7 linked regions of the Cricetulus griseus genome follow. The protein of the gene in region 5 interacts with the protein of the main gene of each other region in a biochemical or structural test. Links are inferred from orthologs where the notes say so. Each region holds a gene or a part of one and is shown on either strand. Other genes may lie near its edges. The genes, in order: Pink1, Septin5, Mfn2, Ube2v1, Prkn, Rnf41 and Ube2g1.

The links.
Region 1: of the proteins of Prkn (region 5) and Pink1, one has a biochemical effect on the other in vitro, tested with the Homo sapiens proteins (12 studies listed by BioGRID, with this or other methods). The link is inferred for Cricetulus griseus from reciprocal best matches to the Homo sapiens genes PRKN and PINK1.
Region 2: of the proteins of Prkn (region 5) and Septin5, one has a biochemical effect on the other in vitro, tested with the Homo sapiens proteins (2 studies listed by BioGRID). The link is inferred for Cricetulus griseus from reciprocal best matches to the Homo sapiens genes PRKN and SEPTIN5.
Region 3: of the proteins of Prkn (region 5) and Mfn2, one has a biochemical effect on the other in vitro, tested with the Homo sapiens proteins (2 studies listed by BioGRID). The link is inferred for Cricetulus griseus from reciprocal best matches to the Homo sapiens genes PRKN and MFN2.
Region 4: the proteins of Prkn (region 5) and Ube2v1 form a complex in vitro, tested with the Homo sapiens proteins (4 studies listed by BioGRID). The link is inferred for Cricetulus griseus from reciprocal best matches to the Homo sapiens genes PRKN and UBE2V1.
Region 6: the proteins of Prkn (region 5) and Rnf41 form a complex in vitro, tested with the Homo sapiens proteins (2 studies listed by BioGRID, with this or other methods). The link is inferred for Cricetulus griseus from reciprocal best matches to the Homo sapiens genes PRKN and RNF41.
Region 7: the proteins of Prkn (region 5) and Ube2g1 form a complex in vitro, tested with the Homo sapiens proteins (5 studies listed by BioGRID). The link is inferred for Cricetulus griseus from reciprocal best matches to the Homo sapiens genes PRKN and UBE2G1.

The regions. Positions count from the first base shown.
Region 1 is NC_048595.1:15,026,234-15,030,363, forward strand, and holds the start of Pink1 (serine/threonine-protein kinase PINK1, mitochondrial), read left to right. Parts: upstream 1-1,330; 5' UTR 1,331-1,378; coding exon 1,379-1,765; intron 1,766-4,130. UniProt on the Homo sapiens protein: Serine/threonine-protein kinase which acts as a sensor of mitochondrial damage and protects against mitochondrial dysfunction during cellular stress.
Region 2 is NC_048597.1:70,618,431-70,622,513, reverse strand, and holds the start of Septin5 (septin-5), read right to left. Parts: upstream 2,801-4,083; 5' UTR 2,701-2,800; coding exon 2,620-2,700; intron 1,984-2,619; coding exon 1,887-1,983; intron 1,800-1,886; coding exon 1,713-1,799; intron 1,464-1,712; coding exon 1,340-1,463; intron 1,262-1,339; coding exon 1,127-1,261; intron 1,042-1,126; coding exon 924-1,041; intron 832-923; coding exon 730-831; intron 59-729; coding exon 1-58. UniProt on the Homo sapiens protein: Filament-forming cytoskeletal GTPase. May play a role in cytokinesis. May play a role in platelet secretion.
Region 3 is NC_048595.1:8,557,832-8,562,053, forward strand, and holds the start of Mfn2 (mitofusin-2), read left to right. Parts: upstream 1-1,422; 5' UTR 1,423-1,661; intron 1,662-1,730; exon of another isoform or gene 1,731-1,868; intron 1,869-2,006; 5' UTR 2,007-2,041; exon of another isoform or gene 2,042-2,073; intron 2,074-2,989; 5' UTR 2,990-3,129; intron 3,130-4,222. UniProt on the Homo sapiens protein: Mitochondrial outer membrane GTPase that mediates mitochondrial clustering and fusion. Mitochondria are highly dynamic organelles, and their morphology is determined by the equilibrium between mitochondrial fusion and fission events.
Region 4 is NC_048599.1:11,798,126-11,801,625, forward strand, and holds part of Ube2v1 (ubiquitin-conjugating enzyme E2 variant 1), read left to right. Parts: coding exon 1-115; intron 116-3,500. UniProt on the Homo sapiens protein: Has no ubiquitin ligase activity on its own. The UBE2V1-UBE2N heterodimer catalyzes the synthesis of non-canonical poly-ubiquitin chains that are linked through Lys-63.
Region 5 is NC_048595.1:288,897,095-288,899,269, reverse strand, and holds the end of Prkn (E3 ubiquitin-protein ligase parkin), read left to right. Parts: intron 1-358; coding exon 359-471; 3' UTR 472-1,675; downstream 1,676-2,175. UniProt on the Homo sapiens protein: Functions within a multiprotein E3 ubiquitin ligase complex, catalyzing the covalent attachment of ubiquitin moieties onto substrate proteins. Substrates include SYT11 and VDAC1.
Region 6 is NW_023276806.1:129,453,660-129,457,159, reverse strand, and holds part of Rnf41 (E3 ubiquitin-protein ligase NRDP1), read left to right. Parts: intron 1-2,706; coding exon 2,707-2,978; intron 2,979-3,500. UniProt on the Homo sapiens protein: Acts as E3 ubiquitin-protein ligase and regulates the degradation of target proteins. Polyubiquitinates MYD88. Negatively regulates MYD88-dependent production of pro-inflammatory cytokines.
Region 7 is NC_048600.1:86,427,238-86,431,527, forward strand, and holds the start of Ube2g1 (ubiquitin-conjugating enzyme E2 G1), read left to right. Parts: upstream 1-1,490; 5' UTR 1,491-1,554; coding exon 1,555-1,600; intron 1,601-4,290. UniProt on the Homo sapiens protein: Accepts ubiquitin from the E1 complex and catalyzes its covalent attachment to other proteins. In vitro catalyzes 'Lys-48'-, as well as 'Lys-63'-linked polyubiquitination. May be involved in degradation of muscle-specific proteins.

The sequences.
Region 1 (4,130 bases), about 270 Mb from region 5:
AACAAATCCTGCTGGGGATGGAGCTGCGTGGGTGGAGAGCCAGCAAATGAAACCTTGGGCTCCATCCCCAGCACTGCACCCTGCAGCTGGGTAAGATCCTCTAATCCCAGCACTGGGGAGGTGGCCACCACAAAATCTTTATTGAAATAGTGTACTCAGGGTCTGGGGCTCAGTGGTAGAGCATGTTTCAGAAGGGGACTGTGGGGAAGATAGAAAATTGCACTACACATATCTGAGTGTACAGTGAGCTTTCATCTCATAGGCACAGGTCATGAAAGAGGTCACCAGCATCCAAAAGACTCTTCATGTCCCTCTAGTAACTGCCCACCCAAGGAGCCTCAGTGGCCTGACCCCTAACACTATAGATCAGTCTCACTGCCTTTGAACATTATGTAAACTGAATAACAACATTTGTCCTCTTATTCTTTTTTTTTTTTTTCCAAGACAGGGCTGCTCTGTGTAACAGCCCTGGCTGTCCTGGAACTTGCTCTGTAGACCAGGCTGGCTCTGCCTCCCAAGTACTGGGATTACAGGTGTGTGCCACCACTGCCCAGCCAATAGCATACATCTTAAATACACACACTTTGTATCTACCATTCAAATACAGATACCTTTGCAATTGCCTGATTTCTATAGGTAAACTTCACACACACACACACACACACACACACACACGTAAAGTTTGCTTTGCAAACATAAGAACCAGAGTTAGACTTGGGAGGCAGAGGCAGATGGATCTTAATGGATAAGCCATCTCTCCAGCCTCGGGGGATTTTGTTTGTTTGTTTGTTCTTTTTAAATCTGGAAAGCTGAGTGTGGTGGCACATGCCTTTAATTCCAGCACTCAGTAGGCATAAATTGTGACCTTTGGGCCAGATCTCCCTCCTAGTCCTAAGAAGCCATGGAACCTGCGACCTGTACAGGAACATGAGTGCACTTGGGGGTGAGGAAGAAGAGACAAAGCCCTCAACAGCTAGGGCAGCTTGAACTTCAACCTGAGCTCTAATACTTCCATGCAATCTGGGAAACACAGCACTCTCTAATCTACAAATTTGGCACGCTTATATCATTATTGGGTAAGTTTAAAAGTGTAAAGGGCCTGGACCGGTGGTTGATAACAGATGCTAGTTTACCGGATCAATTTCTTACGTTAACCAGGACCAGTGAAGTTTTTGCAACCTCTGTACCAGGGTTCAAAGTGCAAACCAGCCAGACTAGGAGAGACGCAGATGAGCACACAGCGCCCTCGTGCACCGAGCAGGAGAACTGCCGCGGCCCCGCCCCCCGCGCTTGCGCATAGGCTCCGCCCCGAAGTTTGTTGTCCTCGGTCTCTGGGACGTTTGTGGCGGTGGCAGCGGGATCCGGTCGCCGCGCCACCATGGCGGTGCGACAGGCGCTGGGCCGAGGCCTGCAACTGGGTCGGGCACTGCTGCTGCGCTTCGCGGCCAAGCCCGGCCCGATCTCGGGCTTGGGAAGGCCCGGCCCCGCGGCAGCCTGGGGCCGCGGAGAGCGCCCGGGCCGGGCGGCGGGCCCCAGAGCACAGCCGGGCCCGCTCGGGCTCCCCCTTCCCGATCGCTACCGCTTCTTCCGCCAGTCGGTGGCTGGGCTGGCGGCGCGGATCCAGCGACAATTCGTGGTGCGGGCCCGGGGCGGGGCGGGCCCTTGCGGCCGAGCAGCCTTCCTGGCCTTCGGGCTGGGGCTGGGGCTGATCGAGGAGAAGCAGGCGGAGGGCCGGCGGGCCGCCTCGGCCTGTCAGGAGATCCAGGTGAGCACAGCGGAGGGCGGGGAGCCGGGGGAGCGGCCAGCAGCCTGCCCAGAGCTCCGCCTTTAGGCCAGACGGGGCGGGGAGAGGGCGGGGCCTGCGCCAGGAGGAGGCGGGGTTAGGAAAGTGGTCGCGAGTGGGGCCGGGCCGGGGGCGGGACCTGATCCCTAGGGGCGGAGCTACAACTAAAGTGGCGCTAGGATCAGGCAAGGCTAGGATCTGGGCCTGGAATCCGGCCAGGACCTGAGGCCAGAGGGAGAGGCTACAGCTAGAACTACAGCTGGAAGCAGGGGCGTGGAGGTTCCTCGAGTCCGGAGGAAATAGGGAACGCTGGTTTAGGGTGGAGGCATGGCCGGGAGCAGGTCTAGAAAGCGGTTCTTGAACCATTAAGTTTGTTCCGCATCAGGGGCGGAACTAGCTGGACCGTTGTGGAGTCAGGCTCTGAGCCTTAGTGTAGGGTTAGGTCTGAGGATGAAGACTGAGATAGGGCGTGAGCATTGGGAAGAGCAGGGCAATTCAAGGTGTGGGGTACTCGCCGACTGTACTAAGTGGTGGGTGGCATCTTTTAGTTATGTGTCTAGAAGCATGTCATGAGGGCATACCTAGACCTGGTAGTGGGGGTGAGTCGAGGGATAAGGCAAAGATTAAGGTCTATTTTTTGGGGGGGGTTGGTTTTTTTGTTTTTTGAGACAGGGTTTCTCTGTGTAGCTTTGGAACCCATCCTGAATTCACAGAGATCTGCCTGCCTCTGCCTGGGATTAAAGGCGTGTGCCACCAACGCCCGGCCTGATTAAGGTCTATCTTTGACTGAACTGTAAAATGGAAATCATCAATTAAGTCTGACTTACTTCCAGTTACTGATGGCCTGATATGCCAGCACTTTGCATTTCTTTTACAAACAGTATTTTTTTAACAAGAGGTATTGCCAATTGTCCTGTTGCATTGTGGCAAGTGACTTTGAGTAATTTTTTTTTCTTCTTTTGGGGCGTGAGGAGGGGGATGGCCCTGACTTGTAAATGTAGCCCAGGGTGGCCTCAACTTCTGGCCTTCCTATCTCCATTTTCCAAGTGCTGGGATTATTGGCATGTGCCACTATGCTTTGAATACACTTTCTAAAATGACAATACTCCCATCCCTTGATGTAGTTGCCATCCTGATTTATGGAGGGCACATATTCAAAAAAGGTGAGATGACTTACTCAAAGTCACACTGCTGGTAAAGGCAGTGCCCAAAGCCCAAAGCCCGCCCTCTCAAAGCCTGTGCCCTCTGCTAGAGAATTCATCACATCTACTGTTTTAGTTAGCCACAGTGGGGTTATCACTGGATACGTGGGAGTTCTTCGGCCTTTTAAACTCTTAAAAGAGCACATTGACCTCTCTTTCTACTCACAAAATCTTCTAGTCAAGGTCACCCAGACAAAACCAATAGGATGCGTATATTTAGAGATTGGGACTTATTCTGAGCACTTGGCTCATGCTGGGCTGGCAGGCCCAGAGAAGAGCTGGCTGTGCAGTTCAAGTCTTTAGGTTGTCAGCTGCCAGAACTCAGCCTTCTGGGAGGCCAGCCTTTTTCCTGGGGTTTAAAACCACTTGCTGAGTGAGTGTAGCCCCTGCATTTTACAGAGTCGGGCTGAGGGGTCAAAGACATGGATCAAAGAAAGACCTAGCAAGCATTTCCTCTACTTCCTGTTCCTAATACTGGGACCCCATTCCTGTGTCTTACATAACTACATAGTGAGACCCTGGCCCAAGCAAGCAAACAAACAAATAGAAAAAGATATGAATACAGGTGACAGACAGGTAAGAGTATGTGACGATTTTCAACACCTCTGGCCATTTGATAAGTGCACATTAAAATGAGAGAGGTATCCGTGCACACTTACTATAATGATTAAGATAAAAACAAGGACAATAGCAGATGCCGGTGAAGGTGGGGAAATGGGATCTCATGCCGTCACAAATGCAAGTGATACAAAATTAAATTTGTATTTACCACACCAGCCTGTCATTGCAGTCATCAGCATCTACTTCGGGAAACAGAAGCATTCATCCAAAAACCTGAGTGCTGCAGTAACTATGGAAAACAGTAGCCCTAACCCTCAAAAGAGCTCAAAACAGAATCACTGTCTAGTATCCATGGATACTTGACTAGTGGACAGAATGCATAGACTTTTATGCATGTAAGCTCTAGGCAGCTTATTTACAGTAGCCAAGGGGTAGTAGAAGTGACCCTGTGTCCATCAGTGGTGTATATTATTCCACCTTTGAAAAGGAAGGGCATTCTGTAACCTGCTGCAAATGGATAAACCTTGAAGACAGTTGGTGCTACCACTGTATAGGTATTGCCATTGGGAAAGCTGGGGAAAGGG
Region 2 (4,083 bases), on a different chromosome or scaffold from region 5:
GCTGCCCCTTTGCCTCCACCACGGTGTTGCTGCCGATAACAGCGAAGGGCGCACTTTCCTGGGGAAGGGGGAGCAGAGACCCGCCCAGTGCTGTAAGAGGCTGAGGGGGCATGGCCATTCCAGCACGGCCACCACCACCCTTCCAACTGGGATGGCCCCGCTTCTGGGTGCCTCTGTTACCCACTAAAGCCACAAACTCTGCATAGCTCAAAGCCTTGGGGCTCTGCCAGACTGTGCACTTCTCTGGCTACGAATGGTTCCCAGAATTTCCTCCATCTTTCAAGTCAAAGTCAAGACCAGGCTTACTGGTGGATGCCCCTGCCCATCTGCTCCTGGCCCAGGGGCTCCGAGTTCCTGGCTTATCTTTGTGTCATACCTTTTCTAGTCTCTAGGATATTCAAAGCCACCACCCTCTGCCCTCTAGAGCACAGAATCTCAGCAAGTAGGGCTTGACACAGCTCTGAGCCACTGTGCTGATTCTTGGAAAGCGGGCCAGAATGGTACCAATTAAGTGCTCTAGTAAGCCCAGGGGAGGTCCAAACAATTCACTGCAGACTAGACAGCGATACATGTGACCTTAACCTGTAGCCCTTGGGACAAGGGAACAAATGATTCTTGCCTTGATCATGCTGGACCTGGGTGCTTAGCCTTCCCCCAGGGCCTGGGTGGCCTCCAGTGCTTTGTCCCAGCAACCTCCTTTGCCCTCACCCCTCCTGGCTACTTGCTCACCTTCAGTTCCCGGTCCTGTTGCTTGAAGTCTTCATCTTCATCTGAATCACATTCTGGAAACTGGTACACATGGATCCCAAACTTGTCAATCTCTTCCCGTATCTGCAGTAGTAGGGCAAGAGTTGTTAAACTCAGCACGGACCAGCTCCCCTGTAGTTTTTGGCTAGGTGCCCCCTTAGCTGTCGAAGACTCACCCTATCCTTCAGCTTACGGATCTCACTGGGAACCAGGCAGTCAGCTTTGGCAATAAGTGGAACGATGTTCACCTTCTCATGCAGGGCCTTCATGAAACCCACATCCACTGGCCGCAATCTGCAGAGATAGGTTGGAGACTGGCGTTGTCGGAGGCAGTGATAGGAACACCCACCCTGAGCCAGGCACTGGGACGGCCACATACCCGTGTCCAAAGGGGGAGATAAAGTACAGGCAGCAGTGCACCCGGTTGTCTTGGATATTCTTCCGGTTGAGGCCACTTTCATCTCGGAAATACTGCTCAAACTGCTGGTCCACATAGTCGGTGATGGGCTTCCAACTGAAAGTGGAGGAAGAATGAAGCCAGCTCTGAGAGCAGCTAGGTAGTGGTGGTTGGGGCAGAGAAATTGTTCCTTACCACTCAGAGTTGTTCACAGCATCACCAAAGCCGGGTGTGTCCACAATGGTGAGCTTCAACTTGACTCCCTTCTCCTCAATGTCAACGGTGTGTTTCAGAATCTCGACTGTCTGGTTGATGCGTTCTGCAGAGGAAGGAAGGAGAGACAGTGTTTTCAGGCCATCTTCACCTTCACTTTTGGGGGGGGCAGCAGGGAGCCTTATTCTTACCCACCCTGGTGCCTTCGCCTAAGTCTCAGCCTGACTCTATGTTCTGGGCCACTCCTCATCCCCAAATAAGAACCCATGCCTCAAGCAGAGTGGAAGGGTGCTCTGTGAGGTTTCTCAGGGCAGGGATGAGCACATTAGTGAGGACTGTATGGTTGGCCACTCACCCTCAGCGCTCAGAAGCTTCCGGTCCTTGTATAAGTCAGTCAGAAAGAGGCTGTGGACAAGAGTCGACTTCCCCAGGCCCGACTCACCTGGCCACAGGGGACAGTGAAAGAGCTGGGTTAGATCTGAGCTGACCCATGGCCTCAGAGACTCCACCCAGAAGTTTGGTCACTCACCAGCCACCATGAGGGTGAAGTCGAAGCCCTTCTTCACTGACTTTCGGTGCACCTGATTGGGCAGTGTGGCAAAGCCAACGTACTGCTTGTCGATGTCCTGAGGGCAGGGGTAGGATTGGGGCAGGTCAGAGGTATATCCTAGATCTTTGGTGGCAACCCAAGACCCTGTCTCTTATATGGCTCAGATGAGCAGATAGCATAGCCCCAGCAAGGGGCACTTCCTCAGCAAAAATGGGGTGAGGGCTGTGGAGCAAAGGCTGGAAGGAGGGAGGGAGGTGAGGGGGTGGCAGGAAAAGCATCCCTGCCCCAGCCCCAGCAGAGACCCAAGACTGGGGTGGAGAAGAAGGAATGTCAGCCGCACAGGGGTGTCCCTCCAGGTGGATGGTGGGAATCAGTTCTGAGACCCCTCAGACACATTCAAGGACCTCCATAGGTGGAAGCAGCCAGACCTCAGCACAAACTCATCCCCAGAGTATCCGGGGTGGGTGGCTTGTTTGGCCCAGATCCAAGCTTGGGGGTGGTGGTTCTTGAAGCAGCATCCGAGCAGGGGCTATTTATAGACTGCAGTACCGAGCCTCCCCCGCCGCAGGGTCTGCGGTGCCTGCACCCATCCTTAGTGGACATCTGCCCTGGGAGCCCCTGTTACGTTCTCTGGTAGCTGGGTGGTCCTGGCCAAGCGCGTGCACACATGACCCACATTCCACCCTCTCTCCACACAGACACACACACACACCTTGAGCCGCCTCTGGGCCTGGGTGCGCGGCGACAGCAGCTGCTCCACCAGGCGGTCCTGGGGTGCTGCCAGTGAGTCCATCGCTGCGACCCTGCGGGCCCCGCCGACCCTACACCGGGGTCAGGCCAGTCGGGGCCAGCGATCTCGAGCGACTCGCGCTGGGTAAATTTGCTCTTAAGCCCTCTTCTGGCTCGGGTTTTGGAGACACAAGAACTGAGGCCGGGAGAGGGAGCGTCGCCTACCTGGTAGGCCGCTGACCTCAGAAGTCGTGCGAGCCATTCCCCTGTCTCAGCCGCGAGCTGTGGCCGCGAAGACGCTCAGCAGCGGCTCGCGCACTGGAGCCCGAGGCGGGGCTTCGCGGGCTCCCGGCAGCGGTGGCAGGGACCGCCCCGCCCGCCGTCGCCGGGAAACAGTCGCTTGGAAATTGGGCCGCAGGCGGAGCCTTGAGAAAACGGCTGCGGAGGGCAGGGCCCAGCAGAGGCGCGCGGGCGGGGGCGCCGCGTGGATCCGGAACGCAGCCGTGGCACCCGAGGCCGGGTCCAGACGGTCCGCAGGCGGCCGGCGAGGTGGCTGCGGTCGCCGACCTGCCTCCCGGACGCCGCGCGGCTGCCTCCCACCAGAGGGCGCTGCGGAACGCTCCGGACCCACGCGCACCCGCGCGGGAAGCGGCCCCAGCCAACACCTTGCTCTCCTCGTACTTCACCCGAAACCCCTCCAGCCTTGCCATGGCGACCAAACTACCCACAGACACACCCCTCCTCGCTCCTTGGGGCTCACTCTTTTCTAACACCCCCCCACGTGTATGTGTGCCTGTGATTAGGGGAATTCTTTACCCGCGTGGCATCTTCATATGCACCTTCCTTACTAAGTCTGGATCTGGCTCTCCCCTCTGCTTAGCCTAGTGGGGGGAGGGGCAGGAGGCTGGGCGAGTGTTGCTCCCTTTTAATCCCAGCACTCCTCCATCTCTGTGAGTTCGAGGCCCAGCCTGGTCTACAAAGTGAGTTCCAGGATAGCTAGGGCCACACAGAGAAACCCTGTCTCAAAAAACAAACAAAAGGGCGTGAGGGGATGCAGTGGTCAGAGTTCGGATGGTCCCCTTCCTTCCTAGCTTGGAAGCACTGGTCAGGCCGCAGCTAGGCATAACCTCTGCCCACAACATGCACCACGAGCCCCTGGAATTTCAGGGTGCTGATGAACTAACTGGGAAGCCAAATTCTATGACCCACCGACCTTTCCTCATGCCTCACTTTCAACCCCACTAGAATCAGAGCACACCAGTTCCCCCCCCCCGGGGGGGGGGGAAGGAGGTCAAGAAACTACACTAGTGCCAAAGGACCAGGAGACCTCCCTTCCTCATGCAGGTACCACCCTTTCCCAGGAAGGCTCTCCACAGTGGCTTCTTGGAGGGGCCTCCATCCTGGCTCTTGCTATGGGGCCCAAGGGTGGTTGGCACCTTGGGAGGAG
Region 3 (4,222 bases), about 280 Mb from region 5:
TGACTGTCCAGTCCAGAGTCTGTCATTACAGACAGAAGGCTGCCCTGTGGGCAGTAACTACAGCTTTCCCTGACTCACCTCCCTGGAGACTCAGAACTGGAGTGCTGACTTAACCTCTAAAGCTGTCTGAGGCATGACTGTACCCTGGCTATAGGGCAGTGCCAATCAGTGGAAAGCAACACGAGAGCTAGGTGTGGCGGTGAGTGACTACAGTCTTAGCCCTAGGGAAGTGGGCAGGAGGATCTTCTGTTCAAGGCTGGATTGGGCCACCTAGTGGGAACCCTGCCCCCAAAACAAACAAACAAGCAATGTAGTACTCACTACAAGGGCAGGCCACTTGGGTGATTTAAAATATTCAACTAGCCATATTATATGCTTTTAAATATTGTTTCCTATTTTTAGTTAATGTGTGTGAGTTCCCGCCTACATGTTTAAGAGTGCACCACACATGAGCCTGGTGCCCATGGAGGACAGAAGACGTCGGATCCTCTGGATTGTAGTTACAGATAGTTGTGAGCTGCCATGGGGTTCCGGGTTGTCTGTAAAAGCCACCTCCCTAGGCCCCAGCCATATTTACTTGTGTGTGTGGGATGGGGGGTGGATACACCAGGTCATGGTGCTTGTGTGAAGGTCAGAGAACAACTTTTCGGGAGTGGGTTTTTTCCTTCCACCCTATTGGTGGACATCTTTACCCACAGAGTCATTTTGTGAACTCCACGATTAGCTATCCTTTTAGAAGTAAAAAGAGACATGACTTTATATGAAATTGATAATGTATTTCATTTCGTTCAGTTTATCCAAAGCCTTAACAACATGTTATCAATATAAGAATATTAATGAGGTAGTTTGCATGTTTTCATATTTAGCACTGGGGAATCTCTCAGTTTGCAGTAGCTGCATTTCAGGGCCTCGGCAGCCAGGAGTGGCTGGTGGGCGATGTTACAGAACTCAGGCTTGGAGTCCTCCCAGCTTGGGATCGTCTGCTGTATTCTAGTTCCTGAGGTTGGGCAATCATGCCCTGAGTGTCCTGGAACTACTGTGAAAACTGAAAAATTGCATGTTCGATACTCAGCTCAGTGACCGGCACCTAGTAGGTGCCTGCATTGTGGCTGCTGTTTTGACTGCCTCAAAGGCAACTGAAGGACAATTACTTCACCCTAACGGTGAAGAGGCTTCCCTCAGATTATGAAATGTAAGTCTAGATTTCAAAACTGGCAGGTGTTACAGGGTCAAGTTCTGGAGTAACAAATGAAAACACACGCAAACCTTTAATCCACACCCCTGTCATCGTCGTCGTCCCTATGCTCCACCCACCCCCACGCTTGACAGCTCGAGGCTCCGCCCTACCCCGCCCTGCGCCGCGCTGATCCGAACTACAATTCCCATGATGCACTGGGAGCCCCCACCCAAAAATACGTCATCTGCATAGGACGCGGGACGGTTATCAGGCACGCGGAGGCACCTTTTGGAGCGTGGACCCTCTGGACGCTGCCGCGCTAGAGTGGTGGGGATGAAGTGACTGAGCTTCTGGGCCATCGGCTCATCTGGGCTGCGGTGGAGCGAGTGACGAGCGCAGTCCCCTCCCCTCCCTCTTCTCTTGGTGTGGCGACAGCTAGTGACGTCGTGGGTGTGATGGCCGCCGCGAGGCCGGGAAGGTGAAGGTGAGAGGGCGAGCGCGCCGGGGTGGTGGAACCGGCAGGCCCCCGCCGGGAGAGTCCTGAGCCGCCCAGCTTAGGACGCCGGGACGCTGGGGCCCCTGGGGCTCGGGCTCAGGCTCGGGTCACACGGGCGTTCCCCTGCCCCGGCCTCGCCGCCGAGCCCTCCTCGGCTCTGAAGAGGGGGCGGGCCGCAGGACCCAGGACTGGGAGGTGGGCTCCTCGAAGCTCCCGGCACCCCGGTCTTCCCTGCCCTGTGGTCACATTCCTGACCCCTGACCCTTTCCCAGTTTTCATCCTATACTTTTCTGTTTTCTTTTTGCCAGCATTCTTTTTTTTTTTTTTTTTCAGGACCCAGTTCACTGCCTACTCCGTTTATGGTGGAGGTCCTTTTACTTGTATGACTTCTCATTGCACGGTTAAGACCCTCGATGGTTGGAGCTATTCTTACCCGTCCCTGACCCTAGCACCTAGCACCTAGCACATTGAAGGCCTCAGAAAATACTGAAAAAGATAGCTGTTTGGGTGCAGAAAGGCAAAGCTGCTTGTAATACTCCTCTCTCACCCTGTTTGTTTACTTTCCCAGTCATCTCTGCCTACTTCCAGAAAAGGATTCTTGATTTTCCCCTTCTTGTCTTATGTTGGAAAACACAAGTGAGCTCTGGAGGCACAGTTAGTGTATCTTGGTCTCTAGCTTGGCCACTTGACTATATATATCTTCTCACTTGCTTCCCCCCCCCCCCCCAGGGTTTCTCTCTGTAGCCTTGTCTGTCCTGGAGCTCACTCTGTAGACCAGGCTGGCATTCAACTCACAGAGATCCATCTGTCTCCCAAGTGCTTGGGTTAAAGGCATGGGCCATCACCACTGGTGTTCCCACTTACTCTTAAGTGCAAGTTGATTCTATAGACTTGTGAATGGAACAGATTACTTTGTAGCAGCTGGGATAGACAGGCTTTCGATCAGGTCTGCTCTCTTCCTTTCCACACCCCTCCCACTGCTAGTTGACAGTTTCCAGGTCCTCAAGGCCGGGCCTTGTCCTGGTTGTCTCCCTCCTCTCTCCTCTGGATGTGCCTTTTCGAGGACCTCATTGGCGCCTTGCACTAGCACATGGCTAACAGTGTGTTTGTGCATGCCTGTGCTTTGTGTTCCTTGTCTCCACCCCCCCACACACACACACACCCTTCCTCACCTGCTCCTGAAGTACCTCAGTGAGTAAGCTTCCCTCAGGGATGAGTTAGTTTGGCTTTAATACTTGATTAGACATGCTTTGCACATCAGGTGGCATTTTTTCTTCCTGGTTGCCTATTGACCTCTCCCTTTTGCTTTCCAAAAGTGGGGACAGGTGGAGTCAACACCATCAGTGGCCAACCTGGACCTGAATCAACACAGAGGAGACCTCAAGTTCATTTCATCTTTTTGACTCCAGCCATGTCCAGGACGCCCACCCTGTGAAGGTCTCTTACCAGCTAAAAAGTAAGTGGAAGCTGTGGTTTGGGGCACCAGGGCCTGGCTCGAGAGTGAAAGAGCGTGTTCTGCTGGCTCTCGGGTGGCAGGTCTCTTGGATGGGATCCTGGAGCACAGAGCTGATGGCTTCCAACTTGTGTTGGAAGAAGCTGCTGTTTCTCCTTTCTGCTTCTGTGGCACTTCACTAGTTGACAGGTGAGAACATTGCTGGGATCTATCTCCTGGGGTCCCTGAAGCATTAGTCTCTTTCCCTTGTTTGTTCCTCTCTGTGTTGGCTCTTCTCTGTCTCTGCTTGGCAGAGGTTGGCTCCTTATCATGGCTCTAAGAGTTGGCTCTGTCCGTTACCCTGTGTACTCTTTTGTTTCAATTTCTCAGCTTCTCCTCTGCTCCAGTTTTGTCAGCAGACGATCTCTGGACCCATTTTATTTTCTCTGCTAGGAGTTGCTGTACATAAAACTGGGTAAGGAGGTGGTGTGGATTCAGAATTGCACCTCGGATCCAAACACCTTGCACTGAATTTTGCTGCTGCTGTGCAAACACCTAATACTTCCCCACTAATAGCCTGGGTTGAGGCAAAGCTTCTGATGGCCTTCAAGTGCTAATCCTGGCTTTTATTCAGAGTTGGGTTTGTTTCTGATTTAAATTAATATGCTATTACTGGGCTTTTGCAACTTCTGGGGGTGGGAGAAGTCTGTCAGATAATGAGTCTTTCCCTAAAGTGTGAGCCTTAGAGTTTTAAAGCCTGTTAGAAGTTTCTACTCACCCCATCCCTCCCTGCTTTCTTTTGAGAAAGGTAGGGCCACATGAACAGGTTGGCCTTGAACTCCCTGCTTAACTGAGGATGACCTTAAGCTCCTTTTTCGTGCTCTTTTCCTCAGATTTATTTATTTAGTGTGCATGTACGTCCCAGTGCACATGTGGAGGTCAGAGGACAACCTGTGGGAATTTGTTCCCTCTACCATGTGGGTTCAGATATTGGATTTAGGGTGTTAGGCAACAAGAACTTTTACCAGTGGTGGAGCCATCTCTCCATCCCAGCCTTGAACTGGTGATTCTCCTGCCTCCACCTCCCAAGTGCTAGGAGTACACTGTGTGCCACCAT
Region 4 (3,500 bases), on a different chromosome or scaffold from region 5:
AGAGCTGGAAGAAGGCCAGAAAGGAGTAGGCGACGGCACAGTTAGCTGGGGTCTAGAGGACGACGAGGACATGACACTTACGAGATGGACAGGGATGATAATTGGGCCTCCAAGAGTAAGCACCACACTATGCTGTGACTCTCATTGTCTTAAGTTCACTGTGCCTCCTTTTAAAGCAATGGTAGCCTTGTTGGTAAACGTTCACCAACGGTGTTTTCTGAAATGTGGTTGTTCTTTCTCTGGCCAGTTTTCCTTTTCTACGTTTGAGACCCTCTGGTGAGGTCAAACCCTGTTGGGTAAGTGAATCCTGTGTAGTCAGTAGTGTGAATTTACATGACAGTGTAGACAGGGGCCTTTGAGCTTGCCGATCCCCAGGCCGAAGTTCAGGATGGTCTCTGAGCACCTGGACTGCCAGCAACCCCCTGGAGCAGCACCACAACTGCTCTACCTGGCTAGGCCTACTGCTTGTCACTGAGCACAGTTCTCTTTCCACCTGTCGGCTCTGCTGGCTCCACTCTGGTTTGTGAGGCCCTGGCCAGTTGTGTTTGAAGGTACATGGTTAGCCCCCTAGAAGTGTATTTAGTGCTCACAAAGTTGTTGTCAGGTCCTCCTACATCACCACATTCCAGGTCACAGGTGGGGAAGCTGTCCCAGGAGTGAAGTCACCTGCCCAGTCACAGAGCTGAGCACTCCCAGCCTGGGTCTGTTTGCCAAGCCTGTGTCCTCCTGCCCACTAGGCCACGCTGACAGGCTTCCACTTGAGGCTGAGTTTACAGTGGTCAGCACTGGGGTGGTCGATGTTTACTACTTGGTGCAGGAGAGGATCTGGGAAGACCCTCAAATGGGACAGTCCTGCAGATGAGCCCTGGGAGGTGTGGCCTGAATGTGGCTAGGCCTGTCTAGTTTGTTTGTGCCTCGGGGAGACAGCTTCCTTCCTTTTCAGCTTGAGCAAGGTGCTGCCTGTGCACTTTGGAGATAGGAGGACTCCAGCTGTGGACAGCGGGAACTGACACCTGCCTCAGGCTCATTAGCATTCAGATACTTGAGTTCAACTTAGAGGGTCGTTGACACTATTGGGGAACGACCAACCTTGCACTTTACTGTTGCTCCCTAAGTCATTTTTGCAATTCTGATGCCAGGTGTGGATAGTTAACGTGTGCAATGTGGTTGTGCCCATTTCCCTTGTCCCTGTGACAGCAGCTTACTGACTTGTAGAGTACTGGGGATGCACGTGTAGATGGCTCTGCAGACGTTTTTACTAAGAGGGTCCAGCCTCCAGAGTCCTTCTCCCCAGAGCACCTGCTGCAGATGGTTCAGGGGCCACTTCACTGGCTTCCAGGCTCAGGAGGCTGAGGCGGCATGTGAAGCCCGGAGCCACCACTGCCCTGGATGAGGAGGGCTCAACAGTTCAACAGGCATTTGCCATGGCTACAGTTGCCGGAATCCTAGCGTGTGGTGGTGGAGGCAGAAGGCTCAGACGGTTGTGGAGATTTTTAGCAACCGGGGAATTTCGGGTCAGTGTGTGTCCTTGACGCCATCTCAGAAGATGGCTCAGAGGTTAAGAGCACTCATTACTCTTGCAGAGGACTCAGGTTCCATTCCCAGGACCCATGTGATGGCTCACAAACATCCATGACTGCAGCTCCAGGACACATACATGTGAACTAAACAAAGGACAGATGGACAAAAATCCAAAGCAGCCCATAAATGATACCAAAAATAGGGGCTGGAGAGATGGCTCAGAGGTTAAGAGTACCGACTGCTCTTCCAGAGGTCCTGAGTTCAATTCCCAGCAACCACATGGTGGCTCACCACCATCCGTTATGAGATCTGGTGCCCTCTTCTGGTGTGCAGATTTACATGGAAGCAGAATGTTTTATACATAATAAATAAATAAATAAATAAATAAATAAATAAATAAAATCTTTGAAAAAAATGATGCCAAAAATACTCTGCTCTGCCTGAATGCAGGCTGGGTGTGGTACAGAACACACCTGCAAACTAGGTGAGGCACCAGTGCTGCGAGTTCATGGCAACTTGGGCTCCATACCAAGATCCTGTCTCTGACACACAAAAAGAAAACTGCTTGGGTTGTCCTGAACTTGAGTTTACCCTTTGCTAAAGGGTGTAAAGCTGAAGCTGCTAGAGCGCTGGGTACTTTCTGTGTGCTAATTAATGTACATACTTGTAGTGCAGCCCAGGTGTTACAGATCCACCTTAGGACCTCACAAAGGCTTGCTAGGCAAACCATGAATCATGCCACTGAGCCACACCCCAAACGTGCCTGCACAGCTTATTTACAACGGGGTCTTGAGCCAGGGTGGTGGCTCAGACGTATAATCCCAGCTCTTGGGAGGTTGGGGCAGGAGGCTCACTATTGGTTGTAAGACAAACAGAATCTTGCTTTGCAGACCAAAGCTACCCTTAAACTTGGCATTTTCCTGTCCCAGCCTCCCAAATGCTGGGACCTAGAGCTTTGCACAAGGCAAGCAGGTGCTCTACCACTGAGCTATATCTATTGGGCTTTCTTATTTTAATTATGTGTGTTTGGTTTACATGTGTGCATGCATCTGCAGATATCCAAGGAAGCTAGAGGTATTGGATTCCCCCTGGAGCTGGACTTAACAGGAGGCTGTGATCTGCTGCCAGGGGTGCTGGGAACCAAGCGGGTCCTCTTCAAGAACAGTATGGGCTCTTTAACAGATAAGCCCTTGATCCTTGATTTGGAGATACATTTTGATAATGTAGTACAGGCTGGCCTCAGACTCAAGATTCTACTACTTGTGTTTCTGATGTACTGAGATTACATTTATGTCACCATGCTTGGCTTAGAGTGTGTTTGTAACATATATAATCTGCAAGTTTTTATTATTGACTTTTCTCAGTACTCTGACACAGTACCTGACAAGGAGACTGCTGGTCACACGGCATCCTTAGGCAGGGAGAGAACACTGGGAGTGGGCACTCAGCAAGCGTCCTCCCTCGTGTGCTCTGGGGCCCAGGCTGCGATGATCCTGCAACATCCAGGGTAGTTCAGTGGGTAGAGCACTTACTGCTAAGCCTGGCGGGCGGGCGGGCAGACATGCATACACGCGCGCACACACATACACACTAATGAACAGCATCCAGTTAACAAGACCACCACAGTATCTGTTACTTAAAATTGTGTTACTTTCATCATTGTGAAGAACTGTTGGTGTTGACTTCTTCCCCTCCCACCCTGAGTTGCAGATAGAGCTCTGTGGTGCTACTGACTCTGAGGCCTCAGTTTGTAGCAGAGCCCTATAGCACCCACAGTACTTTGTGCCCTTGCACTGCCAGGAGGACCCATTCTGGGTGTGCCTATTTAGTTTACCCACTCATTGTTTGTAGCAGTGGGACCAATACTGATGGCGTGTGGTGGAAGTTTTTCTGTGGACTGCTGTTTTCAATTCTTTGGGGTATGTACCTAGGACTGGCATTGCCAGATTAGGTGGCAGCTGTTCCTCATCTGTGGAACT
Region 5 (2,175 bases):
ATTTGAAAATCATGAGTTTAATATGGCTCTATTTTTTTTTTTTAATGAAGAATCAGCAGGCTGTGAAACACACCATTTATGTCTGAGCACATGAGGGAAAGATGAGAAACTCAGACTGTGAATGGGATTTGTTCTGAAGGCAAAGAGCCCTTTGTCCATGTCATTATCTTATCTTTTCTCACTTGGGGGAGGGGGATGTTGCCTCCTGTTGTTTCTGATTATTCCCCCTGGCTCAGAGTCTCTCTGCCCTCCTTGCTGGGGATTTTTGGCTACAAGAGTCATTTCTGGGATGGCATGGGGGCAAGGGCTCCCCGTGTTTGCCACAAGCCCACAGCACCTGTATCCTTTGTACCCACAGGAGGATGTATGCACATGAAGTGTCCACAGCCTCAGTGCAGACTGGAGTGGTGCTGGAACTGCGGCTGTGAGTGGAACCGAGCCTGCATGGGTGATCACTGGTTCGACGTGTAGACAGACACTCAGGCACTGCCCCTGACCACACCTCCTTACGGGAAACACGTGGACTCCTGCCTTCTTAGCCATTTCGTCGTCTCTGGGCATATAAGCACATACAATGCACACGCACAAACACAGACTGCAAATTACAGACTCGGCCACTAGATCCTTTCCACAGGCACCCACGGAAGCCAGCAGCACCCACTAGGCACCCAGTGAGAGGCACTTTCGGGCCTCTGGCATATGCAACTATCCAACACTGGGAAGAGAGTGTAGCCCCTTGTTTTGGATTTCTCATCCCAGCAGGAATCCAGCCCTAGGGAGGGCTTTTCCAGGTTTAATTTCCCGACTTCACCTTCACTAAATCCATGTAGAAGCCTTAGGCGAAGCCACAGCTCTCCAAGGCTGTTGCCACGCTCTGTGTAAATTAGACTGCCGTGGAATCTCAAGAGCACACTCGAGATGTGAGGGACAGTGTTCTTACTCAGCAATCACCTATTCCCAGGGGGCCCTCCCCGGCAATAGTCAAAAATATTTGTTTATCCCCAAGAATCCTATCTTTATAAATGGTGCTGATGAGATGACAGCTCGGCGGCATACAAATCAACTTATCAACCAAGTGAGAAACTGGAAAACATAATTTGAATGCAGACTGTTTAAATTACAGTGAGGGCATCAAAGTGGAACCTACTTCCACTCGCTTAATTACCTGCAACTTTAGAAAGAAATTACTCTTTTTTTCCTGAAATTATTGCAAAGTCTGGAATTTGGTTTGAAGTATTCATATTGCAGCCTGGAAGTTTAGCCCATGCATTTGTCTTCACTGTGAACTTAATAGAAAAAGTGCCTATAAAGGGCATGTTTTTAGAAACAATCCCATGATGCTATTCCAACGCTAACAGCAGTGCAGGCCGGGTTTATATTTATGGAATATTTATAGAAGCGGCATTTCTAGATCAGCCACATGAGAACATGCCTGACCCTCCATCAGAAAGGGAGACACCTCTGTGTACTTACCCCCTAAGTCCCAGGGAGTCCCATGCACCCAGTGGTCCTACAGGCAGAACCTTTTGCGAAGGACAATAAACACACTAGAATATTCCTTAGGTAAATACACATCACATTTGAATGTTAAGTTTTCAAGATTTTATTTTTTCCTGTTGTGTTTCGTTTGGTTTGGTTTGTGAGGCACTCATAACACATAAAGCTGTTTCCACTAGGTACTGTGAGATGCAGTTTCTACTGCACCCTGTGCACAGGGGTGAGGCGTGGTCTCTGCCTTTCCCTCTCATTTGATTTTCTGACTTCTCAGGAGGCTGAGCTGGCAGCTGAGGGTCTCACTGGCCCCTGAGGCCCCTTGGGACTTAAGAGGCCTGAACCTTCTGAAATCAATAAGTAGATACAACCAACAGAATCCGATGCTGGTGGGAGAAGAGGCAGTGACCTCAGAATTTTCAGGTCATATCCCAAGAGCACCTGCTCCCCCACCCCAAGCAGCCTCACCCAGAACACTCCCCAGGAGCAGGCTTCCCTCCCCTTCCTCAGAGACACAGTACTGGAACAAGGCAGTAGTGTGAGAGGGGGCCACACAACATGACTTATCACCAACTGCTAGAAAATCCATCCTCTCCTTCATAATCCAGGGCTGCCAGACCCAAGTCCAGAAGCCAAAGATCAGATGGAAACGATGCTATGGTATCTTGTAGTGTGAGGCGAGGA
Region 6 (3,500 bases), on a different chromosome or scaffold from region 5:
AGCCCTTCTGACACAGAAAGTGTGTTGGCCTCTGAACCCAGCCCCTCTGACATAGAAAGTGCGGTGGCCTCTGAACCCAGCCCTTCTGACAAAGTGTGGTGGCCTCTGAACCCAGCCCTTCTGACACAGCTACTTCAAGGACAGGGTAACCTACATGTGACTTTGTTTCAAAAAACATAAGGGCAAAAGTTTTGAGAAGTACCATACATAATGTTGAGGATTTAGTTTTTCATTTTAATTTTATTTGTTCATAAATAGCTTTTTTATTAGTGTATTTTATATCCTCTTAGTTAACACTTTATCATTTATTATTTTGTGTATGTCAATAGGCACGGGTGTGCCATGGCACACGTGGAGGCCAAAAGACAATCTCACCTGCTGAGCCATCTCCCCAGTCCTGTGTCTCAGTCTCTGAGAAATCAAACCTGAGCCTGTGAGATGGGTTGAAGCACATTCCACACGAGCCTGATGACCTGAGTTCACTCTGTGGAACCCACGGTGGATGGAGCTCCATGGTTCATATGCGCTTGCACTAACACACCCCAAATGTAGGCACACACAATAAATCAAAGGTACACTGTTGCCCATTGCTGGCTGCCAAAAAGTGTCTTCACAGGGACCAGGGAACCTTCTCAAAGGAATAAGTACATCTTTATATATGGGGTTGCTTTGGGGTTTTTTTGTTTTGTTTTGTTTTGTTTTTTGTTTTGTTTTTCTAGACAGGGTTTCTCTGTGTCATTTGGAGCGAGTTTGGCACTCGCTCTGGAGAACAGGCTGGCCTCGAACTCACAGAGATCCGCCTGCCTCTGCCTCCCGAGTGCTGGGATTAAAGGCTTGCACCACCAACGCCCGGCGCAATAGCATTTTTAACCCTTCTGGCTTGCTTTGGTTTTTGAATCAGGGTATGGTTGTGTAATCGCAGTAAGTAGCCTGGAACTTAGTTTACACTTCTGAGTGCCGGGAGCTGAGTGTGCCCCACACACACACACCCACCCCCACCCCAACCATGAACTTAAAACTGAGAACAGCGCTGTCCCTCAAATGCACTAGTCCTGTTTAGCAGCCTAAGTGTAGCAGTTGTGAATCAGCGGCAACACCTCAGGGAAAGGGTAGGACAAGCCTGAGAGAGAAGAACTGGAGTCTACACAGAGAACCCGCTTAGCTCTCAGACTTTTCCCCACTTTAGCTACTTGCTTTGTTGTTGGGTCTTTTGTTTTCTTTTCATTCTTTAAAAATATTTTTTATCTGAGAGAATAAGAAAGAAAAAATATTTTTTATTTGGAGGGGGAGGGAATTTCACATGTATTTAGGTTCCTGATGGTGTCAAAAGTTTCAAGGGATGATGTCATCCCCTGAAATGGAAGTTAGAGTTTATTGTGAGCTGCTGCCATGTGGGTGCTGGGAACTGAACTTGGGTCCTCTGGAAGAGCAGCCAGGGCTGTTAACTGCTGAATCATCTCTCCAGCCCCTGTTTGTTTGTTTAGGGGTTGAGAGTGACAGTTTGTTGAGACAAGGTCTCACTGTATAGACTGGGCTGGCATGGAACTTAAAGAGATCTGCCTGCTTCCCAAGAGATGGGAGTAGAGGTGTGCACCACCACACCCGGATTTTTTTACTTACATTTACTTATTTATTCAGTGTGTGTGTGTGTGTGTGTGTGAGTGTGTGTGTACGGGCAGTCCATGGAACCATGTGGATCCTAAGGATCTAACTCAGGCTTGGTAGCAACTGAGTCATCTCACCAGCCCCATTTGTTTTCTGGGGTAATAAGGTCTTCCCATATAGGGCAGGCATGTACGAGACCTCTGCGTCAGTCCATGTATTGCCACGAGGCGCTCTTGTACTCTGTCTCTCTTTTCTATTTATTTGTTGAGTTTTTTTTTTTTAAAGATTTTATTTATTATGTATATAACATTCTGCCTCCGTGTATGCCTGCACATGAGAAGATGGCACTATAGATGGTCATGAGCCACCATGTGGTTGCTGGGAATCGAACTCAGGACCTCTGGAAGAGCATTCAGTGCTCTTAACCTCTAAGCCATGTCTCCAGCCCCCTTGGGTTTTTTGTTTGTTTGTTTGTTTTCTTTTTCTGTTTTTTTTTTTTTTTGGGGGGGGGGAGACAGGGTCTTTCTGTAGCTTTGGAGCCTGTCCTGGAACTCATTCTGTAGACCAGGTTGGCCTCGAACTCACAGAGTTCCGCCTGTCTCTGTCTTCTGGGTGATGGGATGTGGGGGTGGGGTGGGGGAGTGTAGAGGACTGGCAGGTCTTGTACTCCATTATTCCTGCTGTGGTTAGTGAGGCTTTGCCCCTCTAAACTGCATCTGAATCATTCTTGAAGACCTCTCCATAAGGAAGTGCTGTGGAAAGAGCATGCCTGCCTCTAGATGTCATTAGCAGTTATTGCGTTTGCACTTGTGTCAGCAATTAGTAACTGGCTGCCTTGTCATCGTCCCATTGTCCTGGAATGTTATTTATGTCTCTTACTGTTACATAACCTTTGCTTGTTTATCTTGTCTCACAACTCATTTGAACTCTTGAGCACAGGAACTGAGTTTTACGCCTGACCCGAAAATGCCCTGCCCCAAATAGATCTGCAATTTACCATGACACCTGGAGCTCTGGTCCTAGGACCTGCTCAGAGGTTTGACTGGCTCGTCAGTAGATCCAGGCTCTCAGCTCCTGTTAACTCCCTTGTGTCCCTCCTAGGCACCTCACTGTGAGCATGCCTTCTGCAACGCCTGCATCACCCAGTGGTTCTCTCAGCAGCAGACGTGCCCGGTAGACCGTAGTGTTGTCACGGTTGCCCACCTACGCCCAGTACCTCGGATCATGCGGAACATGTTGTCAAAGCTACAGATTGCCTGTGACAACGCTGTGTTTGGCTGCAGTGCTGTTGTCCGGCTTGACAACCTCATGTCCCACCTCAGTGACTGTGAGCACAACCCGAAGCGGCCTGTGACCTGTGACCAGGGCTGTGGGTGAGAGTCCTTCCCTCCATTCAGATAAGGGCTCTTCCCATTCCCATGCCTGTAGGCCAGGGACACTTCTGAGCTTCTTGACTCCCTGCTGGCCCTCAGATCTCACTTTCCAACTAGGGTCATTTTGGTCTTGCATTGTTAACAGAAAGAGGACAGTAACCCAGTGACCTCTGATAACACTTAAGATGGAGGCACTTTTCCTTTCTCTCCAGTCCAATATACTCTCTCTGTCAGGCTGCCTGCTCCAGTTTCTAGCCTCTCATGTTCCCTTGTGCCCTATTTTCTGTCTGTGTGAGGTGGGAAATACTTGATTAAGCGCTGGTAGGTACCTGGGACAGTGATCCAGGACTCCTCAGAAGTAATATGTATGAGTGCAGGTAGAATCCAACAGAGTAGCCTGACAGGACACAGCAATTCCCCTCTTAATTTAGAACAGCATCCTAAGAATCAGGCTGGCTCTTAAAAGCTGGAGAAGACAGCAATGGGGGGTGGGAGTGGGGCTGTGTGACTTCCAGTTGGTAG
Region 7 (4,290 bases), on a different chromosome or scaffold from region 5:
GTGCACGCCTTGTAGAGGGAAATGGTTTTCTGGGTTTGAGGAGAGCCTGTCTGCAGAGTAGTTACAGGGCATTCAGGGCTACACAGAAATCTTGTCTCAAAAAACCAAACCAAATCAAGCAAAACCCCGAAATTACCAAATTGGCTTAGTTCCTAATTTGTTGGTGGTATTCACTCAATGCTTATTTTATCCTTTGGTCTGATAGGACGGTGCTAGGGAGGTAACCTAGGGTCTTGTGCCTGCTAGTGCATTAATTTTTGTAACAAACCTGTTGAAATCTGCTTCTCTTGTTCACTTTACGAAGCTTCAGGCCTTTGTGGGTAGGAATTTCCTATGCAGTTTTTGTTTTCTATAGTCCAGGTACACGGAACTAAGGATTGAATAAACACTTACTGAAAGAACAAACAAAACTGTCATTGTTATTTTTCCTTCCCCTTTCTCATCTCTTTATTGCTATGGTGTTGACAGCACAAAACTTTGAAATGGAGGGGGTATTATATAGCTGGATAAGGTTTATTTTGCCTAACCTTAGGTTTCACACTAGGACTTTACATTGTAGGTGCCTTTCTGGACAGTTTTATCTATTATGGATTCCATCCCCAGGCAGAGACTGGGTATCACTATGTAATAAAGGCGGGGGTCCTCTCTCAATCCCCCTGCCTCAGCCTCAGTGTTGGGACTACAGGGGTAAACCACCCACCCAAACAACCGAGTATCAGATGGTGCTAATCACAACTGCGCACTTTACTCAGTCTTACTATTTAAACAGTCTGTGAGAGTCAGAACATTTTATTTCAAGGATCATTCTGTGTATTCTTTATGAATTTTCATCATGCTTAAAATGGGGCACACAGGTACTAAATTCGGCTTTGTAACAATGACTAATTCGCACACCTCGTATTAAGTGTTAGATGGCTGCTGGGTGCTCGCTAACAACTTGCTATCTACCCCTTCTGGTCCCATCACTCTCAGACCTCCAGCTTACATCGGGAGGCAGCGTCCTGACCCTCCGCGACCTCTTTGTCATGGCGTCCGCGGGGCGTCTACCAGCCGAGGCTTCCGCAGCCAGGCGGGCGTGGACCTTCCCAAGATGGCCGTGCTGGGCCCACAGCGCGCGGTGGGCGGGGTTCCGCCGCCGGAGGCGGGGCAGCAGGGCCGAGGGGTCGGGCTAGCAGGCGTGCGGCTTCTGAAGTAGGCAGGCTCAGCGCGCTTGCGCGGAGCGGCCCTACGCGCAGTGAGGCAGTGGCGGGGGAAGGCACCGGTGGGGCCGACGGGCGGGCTGAGGAGGGAAGCGGGCGAGCGAAGTCCCAGTGCGCGCCGCGGCGGCCGGGGTACCCTCCCCTTCCGGGCGTGAGGCGCTGAGAGGAAAGCGGAGCGGAGCGGACTCGCATCGGCAGCGAGGTGCTTCTCGGGGTGCCCCAGACCGGCCTCCCGCGGCTTCGGCGCTCCAGTCGCGGGGCCCGGGTTCCTCCACACACCTAGCTCCAGCCGCCGTCAGAGCTTGTCCCCAGTTCCTCGAAGCCCCGGCGGCAGCCTGGGCTCTCGGCGGGGAGGATGACGGAGCTGCAGTCTGCGCTGCTACTGCGAAGACAGCTGGCAGGTGAGCGGCGGGGCGCCGGGCCGCGATCGCGGACTGACGAGCCACTCGCCTCCTGTCGCCCGCTCGGAGGCAGGGTGGTGGAGGGCCGCGGGCCGCGAGGGTGGGAGCCCGCGGGTCTCGGCCGGCCGGCGACACTTCTGGCCCGGCTGTGGAGGGTGTTGGGGGCGGGGACGCGCCCCAGCCTCGCCCTCGGACGGGCCGGGCGCCCAAGGCGGCTGCCCCCTCCCCCACAGAGCTGGGGCGTTGCGGGGGAGGGGCGTGGGTCCCGGCCGGGCCGACCCTCCCTGAGGGGCGGATCCCGGGCTCAGGTGCGGCGGAGGCCCCGGGACCTCAGGGACCCCGGGAGCGTGCGGGCCCCGCGCGACTGAGAGTCCGAGCGATGGCTGGGGCCGGATAGGGGAGGCGCGCCAAACTTCTGGCTCGGCAGCACGGGGTCCGCGGAGTTAGGGCGGACAACAAAAGCGACGGCCGGGCTGGCCTGGGTACTGGGCGCGGGGCGCCGAGGACTCGGCGGGGCGCGCGACTCCGCTTCGCCTGCCTCCGCCTGGCACGAGCTCGGGCTGCGCCGCCCGTCTGGGGGAGGGTGGGCGCGGGCGCTAAGGAGAGCCGCTCGCTGGCCGGCCGGGGCTTTGTGCTCGGCGCGGCTCCGGCTCCGGCGCAGGCCCGCAGCCACCGGGCTGTGGCCCGCCTTAGGTTCTGGCCAGGGGCGGCGGCTAAGTGCCTCCCCCGTGGAGTCTCTGTCCCCCCCTCCCCCATTGTCCCGGCCTCCGGCCGTTTGCGGCTTCCAGGTTGACTTTTTAGGGGGTTGGCTCCTACTCTGCTAGGACTGTGTGAGCGGAGCATGCGCGCTGGAGGCGTACGTGTGCGGAGTGGAAGGAGGGGGGAGGGAGGAGGCGGGTTGGTGGCTTCACAATGCCGCCCCACGTGCTGCCAGATTTAAAGAGAAATGAACCGGTAGTTACCCCTGCTGTCCAACGCCAAGCTTGTGCCTTGCTTGGTTCAGGCGATCTTACCCCTCCTCAACCTGTAGCCAGCCCTCCCATCCCCGCCCTCCTCCGGCGAAGCGCTGAAAGCTGGAAATGAAGATAAATGAAATAAATTTCTGTGAGTGAGGTGTCAGTTAAATCACCTTTATGGCTTCTTAAGGAAAAGATCCACAAGGACAGTTACAGATTGTATAATTATGTTTATTATTAGATCATGAGCTAGCAGGTTTGGACAAGTATTAAAATTGTAGATGGGAAAGTGATTTGAAGTGAATGGAAAAGTGTATACCCATCAGAAATATTATGCTCTAAAGAAGTGGAACTTATTTCATCTTACTTAAAAACATTCTTTTACTGTGGTTTTTCCTCCCTTAATTTTGTTTTGGGAGAAGAAATTCAGATTATGTCTCCTTAAGAATTGTTTTTTAAATACCACAATAGTGAATTCCAGGACAGTCACGGCTATGTAGAGAAACCCTGTCTCAAAAAACAAACAAAAAACATTAAACAAAATCCCAACTTTATCTGAATAAGTTTTTTTTTTTAATGTAGCAAATCATTAAGTAGTAAGTTCTAAATACTAAAACAGAAGTCTTACATAATGGAAGTGACATGCATCCTAAAAAGTGCAAAAGATTTTAACAGTACTACTATGTTAAACCATACCATGTCTGGTGGCGGTGACACATGCCTTTAATTCCAGCACTTAGGAAGCAGAAGTTGGTGGATCTCTTTGAGTTCTAGGCCATACAGGTCCACAGAGCAAGGTTCCAGGACAGCCAGGGCTACACAGAGAAACTCAGTCTTGAAAAACCAAACCAAGCCAAAACTAATACCTATTTGTGAACACAATCTTTTTTTTTTTTTTTCTCAAGTTGTTTCTCTATGGAGCCTTTGGCTGTCCTGGAACTCACAGATCTGTCAGCCTCCTGGTCTTCCAAATGCTGGGGTTTGAGTCCTTGTCACCATACCTGACTTGTGCTTCTTTTTTATTCTTCACAGAAATAATAGACAAAACAGTCTTCAAAGGTTTTTAACCAATGGTTAATTTTTTTTTTTTTTGATGCGGTATTCTAAAATACACAGTGAGAGAATAGAAAATGATTAACTTTTCAGGCTTTCTTATAAAGATTCTTTGCTTTCTTGATCAGAGACAATGTAATAATGTAGTCTTTTTTTTGTTTTGTTTTGTTTTTCGAGACAGGTTTTCTCTGTGTAGCTTTGGAGCCTAACCTGGCACTAGCTCTGTAGACCAGGCTGGTCTCAAACTCACAGAGATCCGTCTGCCTCTGTCTCCCGAGTGCTGGGATTAAAAGCATGTGCCACCAACGCCAGGCATAAAGTCATTTTTTAAGGGATTTTAATTAATTTGCTCAAAGTGTGTGGTACAAGGTTTGTTAGTTGAAATGTGAAAATATTAATTTGGGAAGACTTGATAAGCATCTAAAAATAAAGACACCAAGATGCTTACCTTAGTAGCAATTTTTAAATGAGTTTTCCAGTATCACTTGAAAACAGTAAAGACTGTTTTTTTCTTTTTTAAAAGATTTTATTTATTTTGTATATTTTTCTGCCTGCATGCTAGCAAAGGGCACCAGATCTCATTTAAGGTGATTGTGAGCTACCACGTGGTTGCTGGGAATTGAACTCAGGATCTCTGGAAGAACAGTCAGTGCTATTAACCTCTGAGCCATCTCTCCAGCC